2 linked regions of the Alligator mississippiensis genome follow. The protein of the gene in region 2 interacts with the protein of the main gene of each other region in a pairwise test. Links are inferred from orthologs where the notes say so. Each region holds a gene or a part of one and is shown on either strand. Other genes may lie near its edges.

The links.
Region 1: the proteins of EWSR1 (region 2) and MAPK1IP1L interact in binary tests that used the Homo sapiens proteins (3 or more experiments, as listed by UniProt). The link is inferred for Alligator mississippiensis from reciprocal best matches to the Homo sapiens genes EWSR1 and MAPK1IP1L.

Annotation. Positions count from the first base shown.
Region 1 is NC_081825.1:299,289,008-299,298,776, reverse strand, and holds the start of MAPK1IP1L (MAPK-interacting and spindle-stabilizing protein-like), read left to right. Parts: upstream 1-6,037; 5' UTR 6,038-6,208; intron 6,209-9,769.
Region 2 is NC_081833.1:26,354,279-26,364,596, forward strand, and holds the start of EWSR1 (RNA-binding protein EWS), read left to right. Parts: upstream 1-6,600; 5' UTR 6,601-6,689; coding exon 6,690-6,702; intron 6,703-10,318. UniProt on the Homo sapiens protein: Binds to ssRNA containing the consensus sequence 5'-AGGUAA-3'. Might normally function as a transcriptional repressor. EWS-fusion-proteins (EFPS) may play a role in the tumorigenic process.

The DNA of each region.
Region 1 (9,769 bases), on a different chromosome or scaffold from region 2:
TGGCAGCAGAGGCTGAGGCAGTGACGGCAGCCACGCTGGCGGGGACTAAGCCAGCAGCTGGGGCATAACATAAATCCTCCTGGATGCGAGCATGGTGTCCCATGAGACGGTCTGGGTGAGGTCAGCCAGATCTTCCAGGTCAAAGAACAGGATTAAGCCAGCCGCAAAGCCCGTGCAAGGGCAGCAGCAAAACTATTGCCTCTGCACTGTAAATAGTCGCGTATGTTTTTATAAATAATAAAAAGTTATGTCCACATCACAAGCCTCCAGAAACTACAGCGGAGGCAGCGGCTGCCATCCTCGTACCTCTTCAAACCTGGTGCCTGAGGCTACAACTCCCTCCGCTCATACACCTTAGTTATACTCCTGCTAATCGGGGTCCCACCTATTCCACAGTCCCACACTTAGGAGTTATCCAAAATTAGCCAGAATCTCAGAGGTTATCCAAAAAATGTCTCTAGTGACAGCTGACCCGTTCATAATTTTGGAACAATCAGATGGCAATGTTTCCTTTCCGGTTAAATCCAGTCCATCTGATTTTTCTAAAGAGAATGGATATTCCCTCGTATTGCCCTTTGAACCAGGTTTATGACTTTATCTTCCCAGCAACGAGGATTTGCCTAGAGAAAGAGCATGTATTAGCTCAAGAGATCGTGATTTTCAGAGTGATTTATTTTATGAGGGTTATGAAATAAATTATCAGGCAGTGATTGGCCATAGGGGAGAAGCACATAAAAGCTTACCGCATGCATTGAACATACCATCTGGTAGCCTTTTAAAATCTAGCTTCAGGGTGGCTCCGCTATTTCTTTCAAGTGCATGATGTTCCCAGTGCACAGTGAGGCCTGAATATAAAAACTGCAGGAGGATACCCCAGTAAGAACCAGCACTATACATCCGCAGTTTATTTTCTTATAACTTTATGATTCTACTCTATTTTGAGTGATTGGCATTTTTGTCCTATCTTGACTAATCAGTTTTCTAACTTGAACTGTGCAAAAAAAATCCTTTTATTTGGCTGGGTATTAAAAAGAGGCCTCCTCTCCATTCTGCAATGGGTTTCTTGGGTCTGAAGAGCTGGATTTATGCAAATGTGCAAAAGAAGCCCGTGTTGTTATTCTAGGTGCCTTGTTTGTGATGCACACAGCCCGGAGGGTGCGATGAGAATTCCTCTCTGATATTTGTCCTATCTCCAGATCTTCCCTGCTGTCCCTTACGTCTCACTGTTTAGGAATGCAAAAATACAAACACCATGAAATATAACTGAAAACATAAGGTGAAGGGTACAAATTTTCATTTACCAGTATTTAAATCCCTCCAACCCTAATGTAGCCATGTAGGTATCTATGGGCAATGAAGTTGCTAATGTTCCTCGCATGATCACGATGCTGCTGATACTCGTTATTCATGCCTTCGATTTTAGAGTAAGTATTATCCAATAATCTTTTCCAAACCCCAGTCCACAGCGAGTGCCTAAGAATGACAACACTGCCACTAAAAGAGAATCAAATCCCTGCAGTGCATACCTGTAATGCAGCCTGTGTTTAATCACATCCTGTCCAAAATCCGCATTCACATGATACAATCCCAAGCTTCAAAAATCATGCCTGGAAAACAGTGTAAAACATGTTCTTCATTAAGGAATGAAAAAAGCCATCGGTTTTCTATTGCTTCTGCTGACCTCAGTGAGAGCCACGTGCAAGTGGTAGGAACAGGGGTGTACACCAGCTGCAGATGCTTCCTCAACCTGATGAAGGGTACTTACACCCGAAAGCCTGCTAAGAAGAATTTTTCCAACTCTGAGTTGGTCTAATAAAAGATATCAGATTCACCCAAAGAACCTTGTCTGCCAGTGATAAGAATGGGCTTTTATTCGATTGTGTTAGTTTTTTTTCCCAAATGTTTTACAATGCACAAGTAGTGTTGTCTGGTAAATACAGGGAGTGTGTGTATACACACATACATGCTTACCAACTCCCGACTGTAACACAGAAGAGTTGCACACAAAACCCATAAGGCTACTTTTTCTCAAAGCACGTATTCCTTCTGCATGTGTTGAAATAAATGGCAAACAGGAGGTACCAATGGATTTTTGTGCAAAAACAGGGTCCTTTCTGCTGCTTGTGAAGGGAAGAAAGACATATGCATAAAACACATCACCTGTCCCTAGCTGCATGCTAGTAGACTTGTCGAGTTGTTGATGGATGGCAAGTCTGGTTCAATTTTTACGGTAAGACGTCGCAACCTTCCTTAGTTGCTCATTAACATTTCTAGCTATTGTGTTGTTCAAGTAAAATGCAGGCGCCGTCTGAACTCCTGCTGTCACTGCTGTGTATGCTGTGCATGTGGGGACCCTTTTCCCTGGAGTATATGGGACTTTTCTAGTTTGAAATCAGCTGTTGTGAATGGCGCAGTGCTGGGAAAAAGGACAGCTTGACTATTATTCGAATTTTTTATTTTTCCAAGTGGGGGGTCCTCTTGGTAGACCCACCAGTGATAAAGATCGTGGCCAATCCATCAAAAAGCCCGAAGATAACATTAAAGAAGAAAAGGATTTGAAAACGGGCTTTAGATACCTGGTTAAATGCTGAGTGAACTGAGGATCAGGGATAATATTAAATGGTCGTTTGCTTCATAAAAGAATTGGGGCTTAAGATTTAGGAAACAGTGTTTGATGCAAATAAGCGGCATCAGCGAACTTACTACATTTTAATTCCTCCAGCTACAATAACACTGGTGCCTGCTCCTGTTGAAGTGTTTTCCCCACTGTCTGCCAAGGGGAGCAGGTCAGGACCTTGAGCATTTATAATAGAGGCACACCGGGGACATCAGCAACGAGCATGGGATGAGAGTCCCGATCCTATAGACTCGTATATGCTATCTGAACCTCACCGCCACCAGCAGTCCCGTAGAATAATCACACCCATAAACATTTGCAGAATAGAGAATATGCATTTCAGGTCGAATTTCATTGTAATTTGTGACATTAAAACCATATAGAAGGTTACTGGCAGGGCTCTGGACAGCACAGCACGAGGTACACGAGGTGGAGAGAGAGACCTGTGATGGATGGAGCTCCGTGCCGCTATACTCTGAACGTACGACAGTTCCTAAATGATTTTTCCCCAGAGAAGTGGGTAGGCAGAGGTGGACCAATCGACTGCCCTGTCGTCGTTGTATTTCTTTTTATGGGGACCTGTTAAAAACGTAGTTTACTTGTCAAAACCACGTTCTTTGGTGGAACTTAGGGCTAGGATCACCCACGCAATTAGTGCAGTAACTCAAGAGCAACTGGGAAATGTTTTCAAGGAGTTGGAAAATCGGATTGAGCACTGTATCACGATGGACGGTGGTTATGTTGAAGTCTAGCGTTGTGTACTCCAGTTGTCCTAAAACTTTAATAAATTTGCTTTTCAATGCTGTTTACAGATTGTTTTTACCATACCCACAACCTTAAGTTATTGAAGTTTACAAGTGCAGAAGGACTTGATGAAGACCCTGTATACTATGTATGGTGCAAGCTTTCATGAGCTGAAGCTCACTTCGTTACTGCTTATTTGTTTGCCTCTTCTAGCATTTGTCCCCTCCCCTCTTCTTTTTATACACTGCTTTGTGTTCATCCTTTCATGGCATCTGATGACGTGAGCTTCAGCTCATGGAAGCTTGTGTGTGTGTGTGTACATAAATATACACACACACGTACACACGCGTCTGTCCAGAGGCCTTGCTATTAACAAGCAATGAACCTTCTATATTGGGTTAGTCACACACACACACATAAACATCATGTCACATGAATACTGTATGCACATATAGATAAACACACATACATATACACATTTACATATATAAACACACACACACACACACACACACATGCGTGTACTTTGGTTAGCAGGGATCCTGGTTTACTCTGATTTATAAACATCCCCAATTTTCAGTTAAAAAAATATATGTTTTTCTGTGATTTAAATGAAACACCAATAAAGAGAGAGAGAGAGAGAGCGGTGTTTCACTTTAATGATGGAAAAATGTGGATTTGGGGTTACTTTTTTTAAATGGAAAATTGGGGATATTTTTTAAAATCAGAGAAAACCAGGTTTGCTGTTGGTTAGTCTATAGGGTGCAAATCTACTTCTACAAGATGTGAAGGCAAGGATTTCTTAGGGTGATGTCTTGTATTGGACCAACCATGTAGTTTATCCCAACTGCATTTAGCCCAATGGAAGATCCCACCTGAAGAAATCTTTGCCTCTGGCATAGTTTCTAGTCCGTCGTCCCTACAATATCACTCCTACACTACCATGGTGGCGATGGGCAGAGGTAGGTAGGTGGATGGATGGCCCCATAGGTGGATTGATGGATCCATAGGTGGATGGAGGGACCCATGGCTGGGTCGGTGGGTGGATGATGGATGAATGCATGGTGGTGTCAATGGCTGGGCTGGTGATGGATGGAAGGAAGGATGGGTGTGTGCATGGATTGATTCATGCCTGGGTGGGTGGGTGGATGCATGGATGTGGATGGGTGGGTGGGTGATGGATGGATGGATGGATGGAAAGATGGGTGTGTGCATGGATGAGTGCATGGATTGATTTGTGGCTGGGTAGGTGGATGGAAGTGGATGGGTGGGTGGACGATGGATAAAAGGATGGGTATGTGCATGGATTGATTCATGGCTGGGTGGGTGGATGGATGGAAGAAAGGGGTGTGTGCATGGGTTGATTTGTGGCTGGGTGGATGGATGGATGTGGAAGATGGATGCATGGAAGGATGGGTGTGCGCATGGATTGACCTGTGGCTGGGTGGGTGTGTGGGTGTGAATGGACTGGTGGATGATGGATGGAAGGGGGTGTGCATGGATTGATTTGTGGCTGGGTGGTTGTGTGGGTGGGCGGATGGGTGCATGGATTGATTTGTGGCTGGGTGGGTGGGTGTATGCATGGATGTAGACAGGTGGGTGGGTGGTGGATGGAAGGAAGGATGGGTGTGCGCATGAACTGATTCGTGGGTGGGTGTGTGCATGGATGTGGATGGGTGGGTGGGTGGTAGATGGAAGGAAGGAAGGATGGGTGTGTGCATGGATTGATTCGTGGCTGGGTGGGTGGATGGATGGAAGAAAGGGGTGTGTGCATGGGTTGATTTGTGGCTGGGTGGATGGATGGATGTGGATGATGGATGCATGGAAGGATGGGTGTGCGCATGGATTGACCTGTGGCTGGGTGGGTGTGTGGGTGTGAATGGACTGGTGGATGATGGATGGAAGGGGGTGTGCATGGATTGATTTGTGGCTGGGTGGTTGTGTGGGTGGGCGGATGGGTGCATGGATTGATTTGTGGCTGGGTGGGTGGGTGTATGCATGGATGTAGACAGGTGGGTGGGTGGTGGATGGAAGGAAGGATGGGTGTGCGCATGAACTGATTCGTGGGTGGGTGTGTGCATGGATGTGGATGGGTGGGTGGGTGGTAGATGGAAGGAAGGAAGGATGGGTGTGTGCATGGATTGATTCGTGGCTGGGTGGGTGGGTGGGTGGTGGATGGAAGGAAGGATGCGTGTGCGCATGAACTGATTCGTGGGTGGGTGTGTGCATGGATGTGGATGGGTGGGTGGGTGGTAGATGGAAGGAAGGAAGGATGGGTGTGTGCATGGATTGATTCGTGGCTGGGTGGGTGGGTGGGTGGTGGATGGAAGGAAGGATGCGTGTGCGCATGAATTGATTCGTGGGTGGGTGGGTGTGTGTGTGCATGGATGTAGACGGGTGGGTGGATGGAAGGAAGGAAGGATGGGCGTGTGCATGGATTGATTGGTGGCTGGGTGGGTGGGTGTGTGCATGGATGTGGATGGAAGGAAGGATGGGTGTGTGCACGGATTGATTCGTGGGCGGGTGTGTGTGTGCATGGCAGTGCGGTGGGTGGACGTAGGTGGCTCATGGGCGGACCCGCCCCCTCCCCCCGCAGTTCCGCGCGCCGCCGCTAGAGGCCTCCCTCCTCCCGGCCCGGCCCGCACCACGTGACTCCCTCCCCTCCGCATTCCAGCACGTGACGCGGCGGGCGCTGACGTGCGGAAGGGGCGGGACGAGCGGTCGTGCCCTTCCGGAGCGGGGTCAGGACACGCTTCCGCTTCCGCTTGGGTCGCGCCGCCGCCGCCGCCGCTGCCGGGCCGCTTCCGCGCCCTTCTCCTCCTCCTCCTCGTCCCCGTCCCGCCTTAGGTAAGGGGGGGGCTCCCCCGCCCCCGCTCCTCCCCGGGGGTGCGTGTGGTGGCCGGTTTGCGACGGGCACGCGCGGGGCGACGCCCGCCAGGAGGCCCCGGCACCCCGCTCGTGTGTGGGCAGGCGAAGCTGCCGGCGGGGCGGGGCGGGGCGGGGCAGTGGAGAACAGCGCTGGGTCTGGACGCGGGGGGACGTGTTCGCGAATAATAAAGTAAAACAATAAAATAGAAATAAAATAAAATATAAAAACCCAACTGCTGATAAAATTGACGAATGACAGAAATATGGTGCGGGGCCAGGGCCGGGGTCCCTCGTGGCGGGGCAGGGGCAGGCGCTGTGCCGGACGCGCATGGAGACGGGCGTGTCTGGGGCGACGCCGCCGAGGTTCCTGCAGGTATAAACATCACAGCGTACAAAAAACCATGACTTGGCTGCAAAACGATGCCAGTTATTAAACCAGCTGGGGAAAATCGCAAGAAAATGGTGCTTTTCTACAAGCTTTGGGGGATCAAAGTCCCGTCATCGGGCAAGGACCGTTTTCTTGCGATTTCCCAGGTGGTTTAATAACAGGCATCGTTTTGCAGCCAAGAGTCATGGTTTTTTGTACGTCGTCTCGTCTGGGGCCGACGCGGCTACCAAGCGCCGCCCCTCCCCGCCCCGCGTGTCGTATAAGCGCTTTGTCCAAGAGGAAAATGCAGGTAATAAAGGGCTTTTCAACCTAGCGGGAAAAGGCTGAACAAGAGTCGATCGGGACTCGTGCAAGAGGTGATTTCCTTTATTAAACCAACTGGATTTTTGCAAAAATAAGAGAAAAAATCGTTAATTGCAAGCTTTGAATTTTGTGCCTGAAAGCTTGCAGTTAAAAATGTCTTTAATTTTTGCAAAAATCTTGGTTTAATAAAAGAGATCATTATTATGAGTCCTGTTTGCCTTTTAATGTATACAAAGCACATTATAGCATATAAGCACTTTGTCCAAGAGGAAAATGCAGGTAGTAAAAGGCTCTTTAACCTAGTGGGAAAAGGCTTAACAGGAATCAGTCGGGGCTCATGTCTTTTATTAGACCAAGTAGGTTTTTGCACAAAAAAAATAAATTATTTAATTGCAAGCTTTTGGTAACAAACATCAGGCGTTGGAGAAAAGGTTGTAAAAGTTTTCCTGAGTAGAAATGAAAGTTCATATTTCATACAGAGTCATCAATAGATGGACTGTCACTCTGGGCAGGCAATTAATTACACCTTACTAGTTAAGAAAGGTGGGCCCAGAGGAGTATCTATTGACTCCTCTGTGAAATCCTATGAAATATGAACTTGCATTTCTACCCAGGAGAACTTTTACAATCTTTTCTCCAATGCCTGATGAGTGTTTGTGCCCAAAAACTTGCAATTAAAGCATTTATTTATTTATTTGCAAAAATCTAGTTGGTCTGATAAAAGGTACCACCTCTGCCACAAGTCCCAGTTGCTTTTTCCTCTAGACCAATACAGCTGCAACCTGGATACCTAACAAAAATCAGCGTCTGGAAGCTGAAATTGGGTCAATTAAGACTGGAAATAGGGCATACATTTTTAACAGGAAGGATTGAACCTGCCCATGGAAATAATGGGATTGTCCATCCGTTGTCTTCAGATCAACACTAAACACTTTTCTGGAAGGAATATTTTAGCCCAGGGGTGGGCCACATATGGCCCATATAGATCTGGCGTGCAGAGCCGTGGGGCCAGGTGGCTGGGAGCTGCGTCCACGCTGCAGCTGGAGGGCAGGGAGAAGCAGCAGTGGCTAAGTTAGCACATGGCTCCGAAAACCCGGGGACCGCTGTTCTAACCGAATACAAATTACACTTCAGTTGAACCCAGGTTATTGGGTTCGCTATATGGGTAGCAGGATGTCCTTTTAGTCATGTGCAACAAAGTCCCTTCCGGCCTTAAGCTTTATGGAGCTGAGAATTGGCTGCCCAGTGCAAACAGATGGTGGAAGAACAAAAATGTAATGAGACAATGAGCAGAAATCCCACAGGGGAAGGACAAGAAATATTAGTATGGAGGAAGTTACATGCCTGCCAGACCAAGGCTCTTAAATGGTTTGTTTTGGGGGGGGGGGGTTGGATGATGGGAGACAATTATTTTGAAGAATGATTCCCTTTATATGCAAATTTACTTTGTCTTCTTGGAATCCTAGGTAATTGTTACCACTGACTGTGTATTTATGGCATTTGCCCTTTTGTTCTTCTTATGTCTACCTTCAAAATAGTCTGGAAACTTCTGATAAGATTTAAAACCCCTACTCCAGCCCTTTTCTAGTTGGCACGAAGATAATGGTGGTATCGAAAGCGAGATTAACTTGCTAATGATGAATGATCTAACTGCTTAATCTACTCCCTCCACGTGTACTAGTCATATTTATAGTCTCATAATGATGCATGGTTGTGAGGTCAGAGTCGATGATGCATATAGGGTGTGTTGGCCTGTCCTTTGATAAATCATGAAACGTGGGAAAGGAAAAGCTTGATAGACTGACACAGTGATTGAAGGAAAGAGCTGTAGAAACTTGGCAGTGGGATAAACTTTAGGGTGTCCCTTTTACAATTGATCCTACATTTGTGGTTTTGCCACCACTATTATTTGTTTGGACTGTGAAAAAAACATTGGAGTCTTTGGCATATCTGTGCAGAGCAAAACCCATAATGTAGGTGCAGTTATACTAGCTAGGAAGTCCTTTTGCTGTTTTAGTTTATTCTGTTCAGTGAACTGGGTTAAACTGGCCACTTGTGATTTTGGAGGGTGAAGGCAGTTTGCTGGCTCTCCTGTGACCTGAGGGCTTCTAAAGGCAGAAGGATTTCATAGTCTCCCTGGAGGCCTCTACATATCTGTTTGTTGGTGGGTAAGATTGGAGTCTGCTGCAAAGCTGTACGTTGTCTCTCTGGGGGAGGAATGAGAGGGTCTAGCAGACCCTCCGAGGGTCGGCTATGGGTAAATGATGAGGGAAACATTCAGGGGCAGGCTCCAAATTAACCCTGATAGTCCTGGGTAAAGATTTGGGTTGATTTGGTGTCAAAGCAACTGGATCTGTCCCCAGGGCCTGAAGCTACCGAGTCCCTGTGCTAAAACTTACTCTTGGGAAGAAGGGACAGTTTCCAAGGGTAGAGGAGGGGCCTTTCCCTTTGTTTTTATAGACTTATCTTGCAGCAGAATGGATAAAGACAGGACTTTGACATCAATGTTGCTAACTCTGTAATCTTTCCTGTTCCCTGCCAAACTATTTAAACCATAATAACTCCTCTGCTCCCAGCCCCTGAAAAAGAATAATTTGAAACTTGCTTTAGCCTCTAAACTCTGGTGCAAAAACTGTGTCAGTTAATTTAGTTGGTTTCATTTTTTTCCTCTTGACACTTAATAGTACTTGTGTAATGCTCATCTAGGAGGCACGTAGCAAAACTATTCAAGCTGAAACTCAAATTCCATTTGCGGCTAGCCCCACCTTTTGCACAAGATACAGTCAGTGCATTTATTTGCTGCTTCCCTGTAACTGAGTCCTTTAACTTTAAGTAAAATAATTGGATGG
Region 2 (10,318 bases):
TGTTGGGCCAGCAATTAGCAGCCACTCATGGTTGGCTCCTATTCCAGTCAGAACTCTTACCCCTGAGTCCAGGTTATCAAAGGTACTTAGGCCTGGATTTTTCGTGATATGTTTTACTGGATTAACTATAGTGATTGATCTGGGAGAGCTGGCCCAGAGGAGCAGTTGGGCAAACATTTGGGAATCCAGTGCCCTTCCTTGGGTCTAGGAGGAGGTAGATACAGGCTGAGCCAAGCAGCAGAGAGAAGACTCTATGTAAATGCAAACAGTCTGCTTGGAGGGATGAAGGATGGTTGTGGAGGACTAGGAATGAGGAGATATGTAGGCATCTGAAGATGCAGGTGAGCACCTAGTGAGATTTTTTCCAAAATTTCTAAATCAGGTGCCTACATCCTATTAGGAGGGTGGTCCCACTATAAATGTATTGCTGTAGTTAAAGGAATGCATGGAGGGGGGTTGTTCACTATTTTAGCAAGGCTCTTTATGAGCTTGGGTGGGGAAAGGAATACAGCCTCACTAGGATCTTGACCTCCAGGCTGCTTAGCTGAACTTTTGTGATCCCCCCATGAGCTTTAATGCTTTGTTCAAGGCAATGGCAGAGTAGTCCAGGTTGTTTGTGGCAAAGGTATGAGTTCAAGGCTTGCTCTAAGCTGGTGCTCCCAGTTGCTGCAGCCTGGTGGTTTTGGTTGAGCAGTCAAAGTGGGTTGGACATGAAGTTTATGATGTTGCTGCCTTGTGTGCCTACACCATGCTAACCCAGCTGGCCACCTGGACTCAGTATCTTTGATTAGCTTGTTCAATGCATGAGCAGGAGTCACCAACTTATTGTAAACAAAGATCATCCAAAGCTTGTGGTCATTTGTTTCTTTTCCAGTCAGCCAAGGAATAACTTTTGGTGGAGTCCAAGACTTCCCTGAATGGAGAGAAGTGGAAATGTAATATTATACATTGGTCTTATTTCAAACTGAGCAGCTCTGGGAATCAGTATGAATGTGGAAATACTTAATTATTTGCTTTGTAGTAGCTGTGGAAGCCCCTTACTTAAAGTGGGTGGGAAGAAACTCCAGTGTGGTTGCATTTCTACTAGCAAGTATAGGAGTTAGGGTGGCCATCCTAGAGGACATTCCATTTTTCTGCTACTCTGTCCTCTATTGATATGAAACTGGATGCCTTTATGTCCTCTATTTTTCTCTTCAAGGGAAAAATAGAGGACATAAAGGCATCTGGTTTCCTATCAATAGAGGACAGAGGACAACCAGACGGTCCTCTATGATGGCCACCTTACATCATAGAGTACAAGGGTATTCTAGGTCTTGCTGTCCCAGGCCTCTCCCCGGTTTCTGCCAGGGGCTCGCAGGGTCCACACGGGAGAGCATTGTGCCAATGCCAACCTCTATCTACCAGCCAGGGCCCATCCTCCCAAGCTCTAGAAATGAGATGCAGTGAGTTCACAGCTGCTTGGTTTGTGGCCCACTGTGTACAAGCTATTTCCAAGTATTTAAATTAGCTTTTTGAATAATTTGCATGCGATTTGTGCATGCCCATAATATAACCTTTACCTTGAGCAGTACCCAAAGGTTTAGTATATGGAGCTGCACAGAACTTGGCAGTGGCAGCAGTTGTCAGAGGGGTTGGCTGGGGGAAGTTGTGTTGTGGAGGCAAGAGGGAAAGGAGCTGGGTCTCTTTGGCTGCCTCAGGATAGCAAACTGAGGGTAAAAGTCAAGGAAACAGAGGAAGGCAAGGTTTGCAGTGGCTGCCGGGAAAAGTTGAGTGAGCCATGTTTGTGAAGATGTTTGGGGGGAGCTGGATAGCTTGGGGGAAAAGCCAGAGACCAGCGTGGAGAAGGGGGTAGGGTAAAAGGACTTTGGGGTACCTTGGGAATCTGTGGGAGAACAGAAGGCTAGGAGGGGTGGGTAGATGTGTCTGCAAGGAGGAGGCCAGCAGGCTGCTCAGTAAAGAAGCCTGAGGTTGGTACTGAGCACCCCCACTCTCCTATCCTTGGATCTGTAGGACTGCTCTTTCCCTGCTCAGTTCTAGCAGCGAAGTAGTGAGCTGCAATTAAATTTAAACTACAATCATTGGACCTCTAAGATAAATCTTCACTGAGGTGACTGGAGCCATTTGCACTACTCCACCCTTTCAGGTCCTTGACAGACTCGAGGAAGAATCACTGTTTTAGGGACCAGGCATCACTTTGAAGTTTTTTTATAGACACAAGGGACAGAGACTTCCTTGGTGGAAGCTGAGATCCTATAGAGTATAAGAGGGCAGTTCAGGGAAAGCAGGAATTAAGCCCATATTCAGGTATGACCCCAGTTCAATTTCTGACGCATGTTATTGCTGTCACACACACAGCTGTATGAAACTGGGGGAAGAATTCCTGATGAATACAAGTGCAAACAAAGTCATGAGAGGCTCCTTGCTTAACTAGACTGTGTGCATGTTGGGAGGGGGCAAGGGGGTGGGAGCGGAGTGGATATGAAGCAGAAAGCTACGGCAGTGATTTTTGGATCAGCTCCCATGGTATCCATCTGAAGTAACTGAGCACGTTATGCCAGTCTAAGGAGTATCTTCTACATTTCATGGGTGTTGGTTGTAGCCATGATGGTCTCAGGACATAGGCAGACAAGGTTCTTTGGGTAAATATGATATCTTTTATTAGACCAACTAAATAGTTGGTAAAATTATTCTTTGCATCTTTCAGGTACAAACACCTGACTCTCCCTCTGCCTGAAGAAGGGTGTTTGTATCCAAAGCTTGCAAAGAACATTTTTTCCAACTATTTAGTTGCTCTAATAAGATATCACATTTACCCAAAGAACCTTGTCAGTCTAAAGAGTAGATGCTTCAAACCAGAGCAGAGACAAGAACTTCCAGTCCGATGTTGTGACCACTAGGGAACAATCTTATACTGGCAGGTAGATGGACTTAGGCCAGGTCTGCACTAAAGATGGGCCACCATAGCATGTTGGCTTACAACAGCCAATACTATTATGTCATTGGAGAGCACACGCACTTGAGTGCCCAGGTTGGTGCCGTGTCTTCAGCCTTTGGGTTGTGCTGGCTATTGCCAAACTGCACCAAGGGTAGGTATCCCAGTGGTACCACCTTCCAATGAAATGCAGTGCAGGGCACTTTTGCAGTGCATTGTGGGATGGTGCTGCAATACCCAGGCAATGGTAGTTACTCAGGGTCAGTGACCTACAATTCTTTTTTTCTTCCTGCTGTGTTTTCCACACTGGGCACGTCTACATGAAATACTAAAAGTGCAGTAGACTGATTCTATTGTGCATTACAGTGAAAACTGCTAATGCAGAGTAGAATTAGTCTTCTGAACATTAGCTTCACTTAATTGACATGCATTGGTGCTACTGCGTAGTAGTGCTTATTACTGTGTATTTAGTGCCTGTTCAGGTATTAAACTTAATGTGCAGTAATTACAGCGCATTGATACATGTGTAGACATGCCCACTGTTGTTTGACATCCCTGAGTTCCTTGTGTTCTTCTTCCTTTACCACTAGCCAGGCTCTTGCACAGGTGACCAGAGCTTGTGCAGTGTTCTACAGATGGGCCACACCATTCTTTTATAGGTGCATAATAATAGAATTGAAAGAGGTAGTTAGCCATGTTAGTCTGAAGTCATGCAGAAGGCAGGGTACATTTTCACCTCATGGATGATCTAAGTAATAACTAAATAATTTAGCTGACCACTATTGCTGTAATAGCTGGGACATGGTAGCTAAGTGGTTAAGGAGTCTTGATACATCTCCAGAGGCATGAGTTCAAGCAGGCACCTGGTCATTCAGGCTGGAGAATCAAAGGCAACCAGACATGTTGCTAACCACTTCACTACTGTGTGTGCCACCGGCTACAGAAGCTAACATGCTTCTAGACTTGGGTGGATCTTTGACATTTTTTACTATTGTGGCAACTGGTGGTTGGATGCAGATGACATGAGACTTTTGGAGGAGAATGAATGAATAATTAAGATTGTCCAACAAACATTTTTCCAGCTTACCTGTGTATGAGTTTTAGGATCAGTTTCCTTCATCCTAGGCAGGAAAATTTGATTCACCTCTCTCTGAGCTAGAAGGGGAATGAACAATCATGTGGGAGTGAGCGTTAATGAGACCTTCCAAATACCTTGTTCTGTTGTCCCAAAGGGGCCTGCTTGGAATCTTCTTTCATTAAAAGACATTTCCCAAATTTGGCAGTAACTGATGGCAAGCTATTTCCCTTCAGGATTTTTTTTTTTTTTTGCCAAGCAGGGAATTATATTAACAATTCTAAAACTTTATTCATGCATCTTAAATGCCTTGGAGGCAGTTAGAGGTCAGCACTAGTCCTATTATCATTGGGTATAAATTGCCTTGTAACTGTAACAGTGATAATTCAAGAATCACATACGAGAATTCCCCAAACCTCCTGACAACAGGAGTCAGTGCAATGTAGTAGATGTATTCAGACTTCAGAGACAAGATCTTCTTGTTTCTCATCAAAGTTGCTTTCCCATTCTGTGCCTCAGTTTCCCCATTTGAAAAAAATAATTCACTTGACCACGCCTGGCTGTTCTGAGGACAGATCAATGACATTTCACACAAACATTAAGTATTAGAAATACTAAGAAATTACTAAGTATCATTATTGTTACTGTTTCATCCATTAACTTGCTGCAACCTAAATTACATAACAAAACTCTGCTAGAGGAAGAATGCTTGAGATAGCAATTTCTTACTGTTGTAAAGACAAGCTCCAGAGAAGCAAATCCCTACTTGGTAGCAGAGGCTCCTTGAGGTAGGCTTAGGCTCTCCAAATTTGAATTGGAAACTAAATAGTTCACATTAAGCTGCACCTGTTAGGTTCAAGTCAGTGTAAATTTGGAGTGCTTTGGCTTAAGTTACTGTGGTTACCTGAACTTTTGATTCCAAACCTAGATCAATAAGAACTTGCATCAGGGCTGAAACTGGGCCCTGAGGCCTGCTTCTCCATGGCCTTGCTCCTTTGCTGTTCTCATTTATGCTGGCACTTTGTACCTGGATTGCACATACATATATGATAACACAAAGGGAAGGCAGAGATACACTGGTAGCAGTCTTTGGTTCTGTTGGCATGTCAGCTTTTTTAAACAAATCAGTCCACAGTTCTGAGTGGGAATTCATCTCCTGCCCAACACATGGGTGAGTCAGCAAGCTCTTTTCTGAGGATAATGAATTATCTACAGAATTTAAGTTTTAGTTTAATAAGAACTGGTTTCTCTCCTTTCAGGTTGTGAAGAAAATCCCTTGAAGATATAGAGTGGCAGTGATTAGGGTAATCAAATATCTAGGCATGGGGGACATGCTGATCTTGACATCTGCCACTAGATAATCTACTTTCTACTACTTGCAGCTTTTAAAGTATCCAGCTTATAAATATTGAACAGAAATGCTAACGTGAGATGCACAGTAAGAGCTGGGAATGATGTGGATTTTGAAGTGTGGAAGACAGAAGTTTGGGTGCCCCTATACTGTACATATTTAAGTTTATACTGTTGACACCTTTGCTAGAAAGGATGGAAAGTCAGCAAAATGGTTTACTTTTAGTCTAATTATGCAACTACCTCGCGGGAAGGTTTTTATATGGCACAAATCTGGAATAGTGAAGAGAGTATAGGCTTGGCCTCAAAGATTAAGTGTGTTGCACTCTAGGTAACCTGTAAAGTTGTCACAGTCACCTGTCCTGGACAATGTAAAATTGTTCTGCCCTGAGTCACAGATCCCTGGATTGCTTTTAAAGTCTGTGTAACATCAGTATTTTGGCAATGCAGCACCACAATACATGGCAAAGGTCTTCATTAACCCGCTGCATTAAGACACCTTGGCACTGTGATTCTTGGTCCTAACAGCATGCCAGCAAACAGTGACTCCGTGATGGTACCATGCTGACATCTGACACACGAGGACATCCGGGTGAGCCTGGGTGATTGCATTTCACCAGCATGTCAGCGAACGACTTGCACGTGATAACCTCATGCCACCGTGCCAGGATTGCGCCTGCTGCTATTGCCCACGAGAATGCAACGCCAGATCCCAACGCTGCAGTTGGTGCCCTTGTGCCAGTGCCCAGCAGCTCCATGCCATGACATCATGCAATGCTGCAAGTCTGTGCAATGATGTCGGGCTCTGTCTGATGAGGTTTTAAAGCAGTTGACGTCGTCTGCACCGCTGGTATTTGGGCAGGTAGCAAATCCGAGAGCAGGGCTCGCTCCTTACCCCCCGCGCGCTCCCCGGGGACGCATTCCAGCAAGGTCACTCAACCTCCCCTTGGCCTGAAACGACTGCAAGGCCAAAAGCGCCCTAGCCCCGCCTCTGAGGCCTGCTCTACGTTTCCCGGCTGGGGCGCCTATTGTGCCACGATCCCTAAAGTGGATGGACTGAACCATTCCACACCCTCTGGGGGGAGAGCCAGCAGACGTAAATCACGAGGACAACTCCCGTTCCCTCTTTCGGGTGCCTGACTGGGCTGGGCTGGGCCATACGGCTCGTCACAGGCAGGGCGGGACGAGCCGGGCCCGGCGCAGCGGAGGCAGGCTCCTGCTTCTTTCCCCCGTCCCGGAGTGGTAGCACCCGAGGTGGGAAAGGCTGCGCATGCGCAGTGCGGGCGGCAGAGCCCGGACGGACGTTGAGAGAACGAGGAGGAAGGAGAGAAAATGGCGTCGACGGGTGAGCGCCGGGGCCGGGCCGGGGCGGCGGGGCCGGGCCAGGCCAGGCCAGGAGAACCCAGGGCAGCCCCGGAGCGCGCCCGCGCGGCGGAGCCGTCCCGCTGCCGGCGGGGCGAGGCGAGGCCGAGCGCGGGACAGAGGCCGCGGCCCCGCCCGAGCGCCCCCCCCTTCCCCCGGTACCGGCCCCCTCCCCCCCGGCGCCGGGGGCGGTTCTGGAAGGTTCCGCGGCGCGGGGGGGCGGACCGGGGTCGCGGGGAGGCCGGCCAGCCGGCCGGCCCCATTGTGTAACGTGCGGCGGGTCTGGCCCGGCCCGGCCACGCGGCCTCCGCAGGGACAGGCCATGCCGTGGCCGCGCCCTCCCGTGCGGGGGTGACCGGGCCGGGCGGGCGGGCGCAGATCTGCTTCGGGGCCGGGGCGCGCCCCCTCCCTTCCCGCCCGCCGTCGCGCCTGGGCTCGGGCGCGGGTCACCTGACCGTCCCCCCGCAGCTCCCCCGCCCCCCGCGGTTGCAGGCCTGTGGCCGCTGCTCGGATGCCTCGGGCGGCGCCTGCCCCGCTGCATCGGGAGCCGCCGGGGCCTGCAGGCAAGGGCTCCCACCCGGGCGGGGGAAAGGGAGCCGTGGGCCCCGTGAGGTTTTGTCTCGCTGGAGCCGAGAGCTCTGGGCAGGGCTGCGCTGGGCACCGAGCTCCAGGCAGGTGCGGTGGTAAGAACAACCCCAGGACGGCAGCAGCTCAGCCTGTGGAAGTGCAGGGGCAGATGCTGCTCTGGTCCCCACGGCCCGGGGTCGGTGGTGCTCGCTGTACGACTTCATCGGAGAGGGTCCAGGAGTTGGTCCAGTTACAGCTTATCTTTTGCTGCCTCTCTGGTGCTCTTTAAGTCGTCTCTGCATTAACATCCCTTTGTGTAATTATTAGGACTGCTAGGACCAGCACTACTTTGGCAGCTTCCCTCTGCAGGTTCAGGCTTTAGTAATATCTACTAATTCATCCTGGCTGGCTGTTACATTTTCATTGGACAAAAAGAAAATTATGTCTAATAAGTTACGTGTTGAAATGAGGTTTATAATGCTGCTTTTTCCTTCCTGCCTTAAAATTGTCCTTAATGTGTTCTGATCCTTGCTCCTTTTCCAATACAGGGGAGCAATTGGCATTAAATAGTTAAAATTCCAACTTTTGAATACAGCTGAATTTTTTTTCTCTTGCAAGAGTTGGGATATACATATACAAATAATTACAGTTCCATTTAAGCAAAAATACAGGCTGAATAACTGTTAGTCTGATGTGATTACATGACAGAAATCTTGTGCAGCGTACACCTTTGAAAATAGGGTTGGCATGTCAGCAACCTTTAATCAGTGTATGATGTTGCTGGGATCACAGAAGAAGTAGGATTAAGTGTTTGGTTATATTAAATACTAGACTAATTTTGAGTTCTTTTATTGAAATTCACATACCAAAATGGAGGAACCTTGTTTCCCCTCCCCCCACCCCCTCTTTAGCCATGAAATGCATTCAGCATTTCATGCCTGGGCTTTCCTAAGCAAATATGCCTTTGACTGCTGAAGTTCAGGTTATGTACAGGAGTGGTGTAGATGAGAAGATGGAGACTGATGTACATGCTAGGATTCAGTATTTTTTGAAGTGTTTGTAAATCTGCTTTGGACTTGCATGGATCTTAAATGCCTTAGCATGGATCAGGTCGTTACAAGTTTTATCCATACAAGCTGTCTAAACCCTGCTAAAAATGCCTTTCAGTGATGTTGCTTGAATTCAACTTGTAGATGTGTAGTCATAGCAGTGGAAGGGTAAATAGATAATACTTTTCTTTGGAGAAAATCAGTTTGCTTGCTTCAAGCAAGCACCTGGTTATCTTTGACTAGCTACACATGTAACCAGGTTATATTTGTCACAGGGCCTCATGACACAATATAGTTCAGTTATGCAGTGTAGGTAGTAGATTAATTCTGCCCTGGTACCTTAATACAGTTCTGTACCTGGCACCTTTTGATAACATTTGGGAGCTTGATTAACTGCCTAGCTGCACTAACCACAAAGGCAGTATTATGATTCTGTCCCCTAATATGGTTTAAGTATTAATTCAGTAGATTTTTGGCACTAGAAGGACCATTCTGGGAGCTGCTAACTACAAAAATAAAACAAAAACCCAACACACTTTCTTCATTCACCAAAGCTTCTTGTTGCCTCATGACTCATCAGAAAGCCTTAATCTACTGCACTAGTTCACCTTTAATTTGAACATCTCAAGTCTTGCAGTTTTTAAAATTAAGTACTGTAAAGGTGCTTTCAGTGGAGACTCAACATATTTTTCTGCTATTAGAATGGTTTTTCATGTTTTTTTTAAGAATATATTAAGTATTTAGTGGGTTTTTTCCTCCCTGTGTTCATCATGGAACTTCTGGCAGATGTTTTTTCTTTTTGTGGAGAAAATCAATGAAGTGTGGGAGAAGAAAATACAAAATGATGTCAGCCTTCTAAATGGACACAAGTTTTATAAAGTAGGTCAGGCTACTTGGACTATCATGTTAAACGAGAGTTAAAGCTAAACCCAACCAGATTGGATTTTCCCAGAATGAAAAGGACTTTCAAGGAAAGTGTCACTGATTAACGCTACCTTAACTCATAAAATAAATTGTCAGATCTTTTTAAAGGCCTTTTTTTCTACTTAATAAATGAAATTGTTCTTTCTGTGGAGGTGCTGTTGTAGCATACCACCATTGTACTGATAAGCCTTATATAACAGAACAGGAGAGAAGATTCAGGTTCTATTAGAAATAAAAGTTTCAGAGAAGGTTTAGCTAAATTAGTGGTGATTTGTTTGTTTTGACAAGTCCACATGTTCTAGTAAATTGAAAGGGGGAATTAATAAAGGTAGACATGTAACATAATATGCTTATTTAGCTAAATTTTGAAGTCCAAAGAGGTAAAAAAGCAAACTAACAAAAACATAATACCTTGGAGGCTGCTAAAAGGAAGTAAGAGAAAATAAGGAAAAATGAGTATTATTACTGAAGGGTTGTACAATAGATTCTCAAATCTGTATAGAGAGAGGCTGTAATTCCCTCTCTGTTTCTAAGGCCTGGTTCATTACTGTCAGGGTACCTGGTGAAGGTGAGATCAGAATAGTTTCTACTCTGTCTAGTTGTGCCTCTCCCACTGTTCTTGAGATAAACCTGAGATGGCAGAATTGGTGAGTGACCAGTCTCCTCTCAACGTACAACTGTTGGCCATACTTTACATGCTGTTCAGCTACAAGGGCTAGTCTCAGAAGCATTGGGTGTGTTCATTTGTAAGTGAAGAGAGAAGGAAATGGTGATATTTAAAAAAGCAAAAGCAATGCTAGAACATAATAGACTAATTTGTTAGAACTCTAAGGGTCTTCAAACTAACAGCTTTTTTGGTTGTGGTTTACCTCAGATGGTTAGTCTAAAAATAACATTTGGGGGAGACTTCCCTGCCACCTACCCTCTCTAATACAATAGTTTTATTTCCTTCATTTCGATATGAAATACTGTGTAAGCTAGTCAAAAGTTGTATACCGGTAGTTACATCTGCATTTCTCTCCTTCCTCCCCTGAAAATTTGGCCAATGCCTGAGCTCCC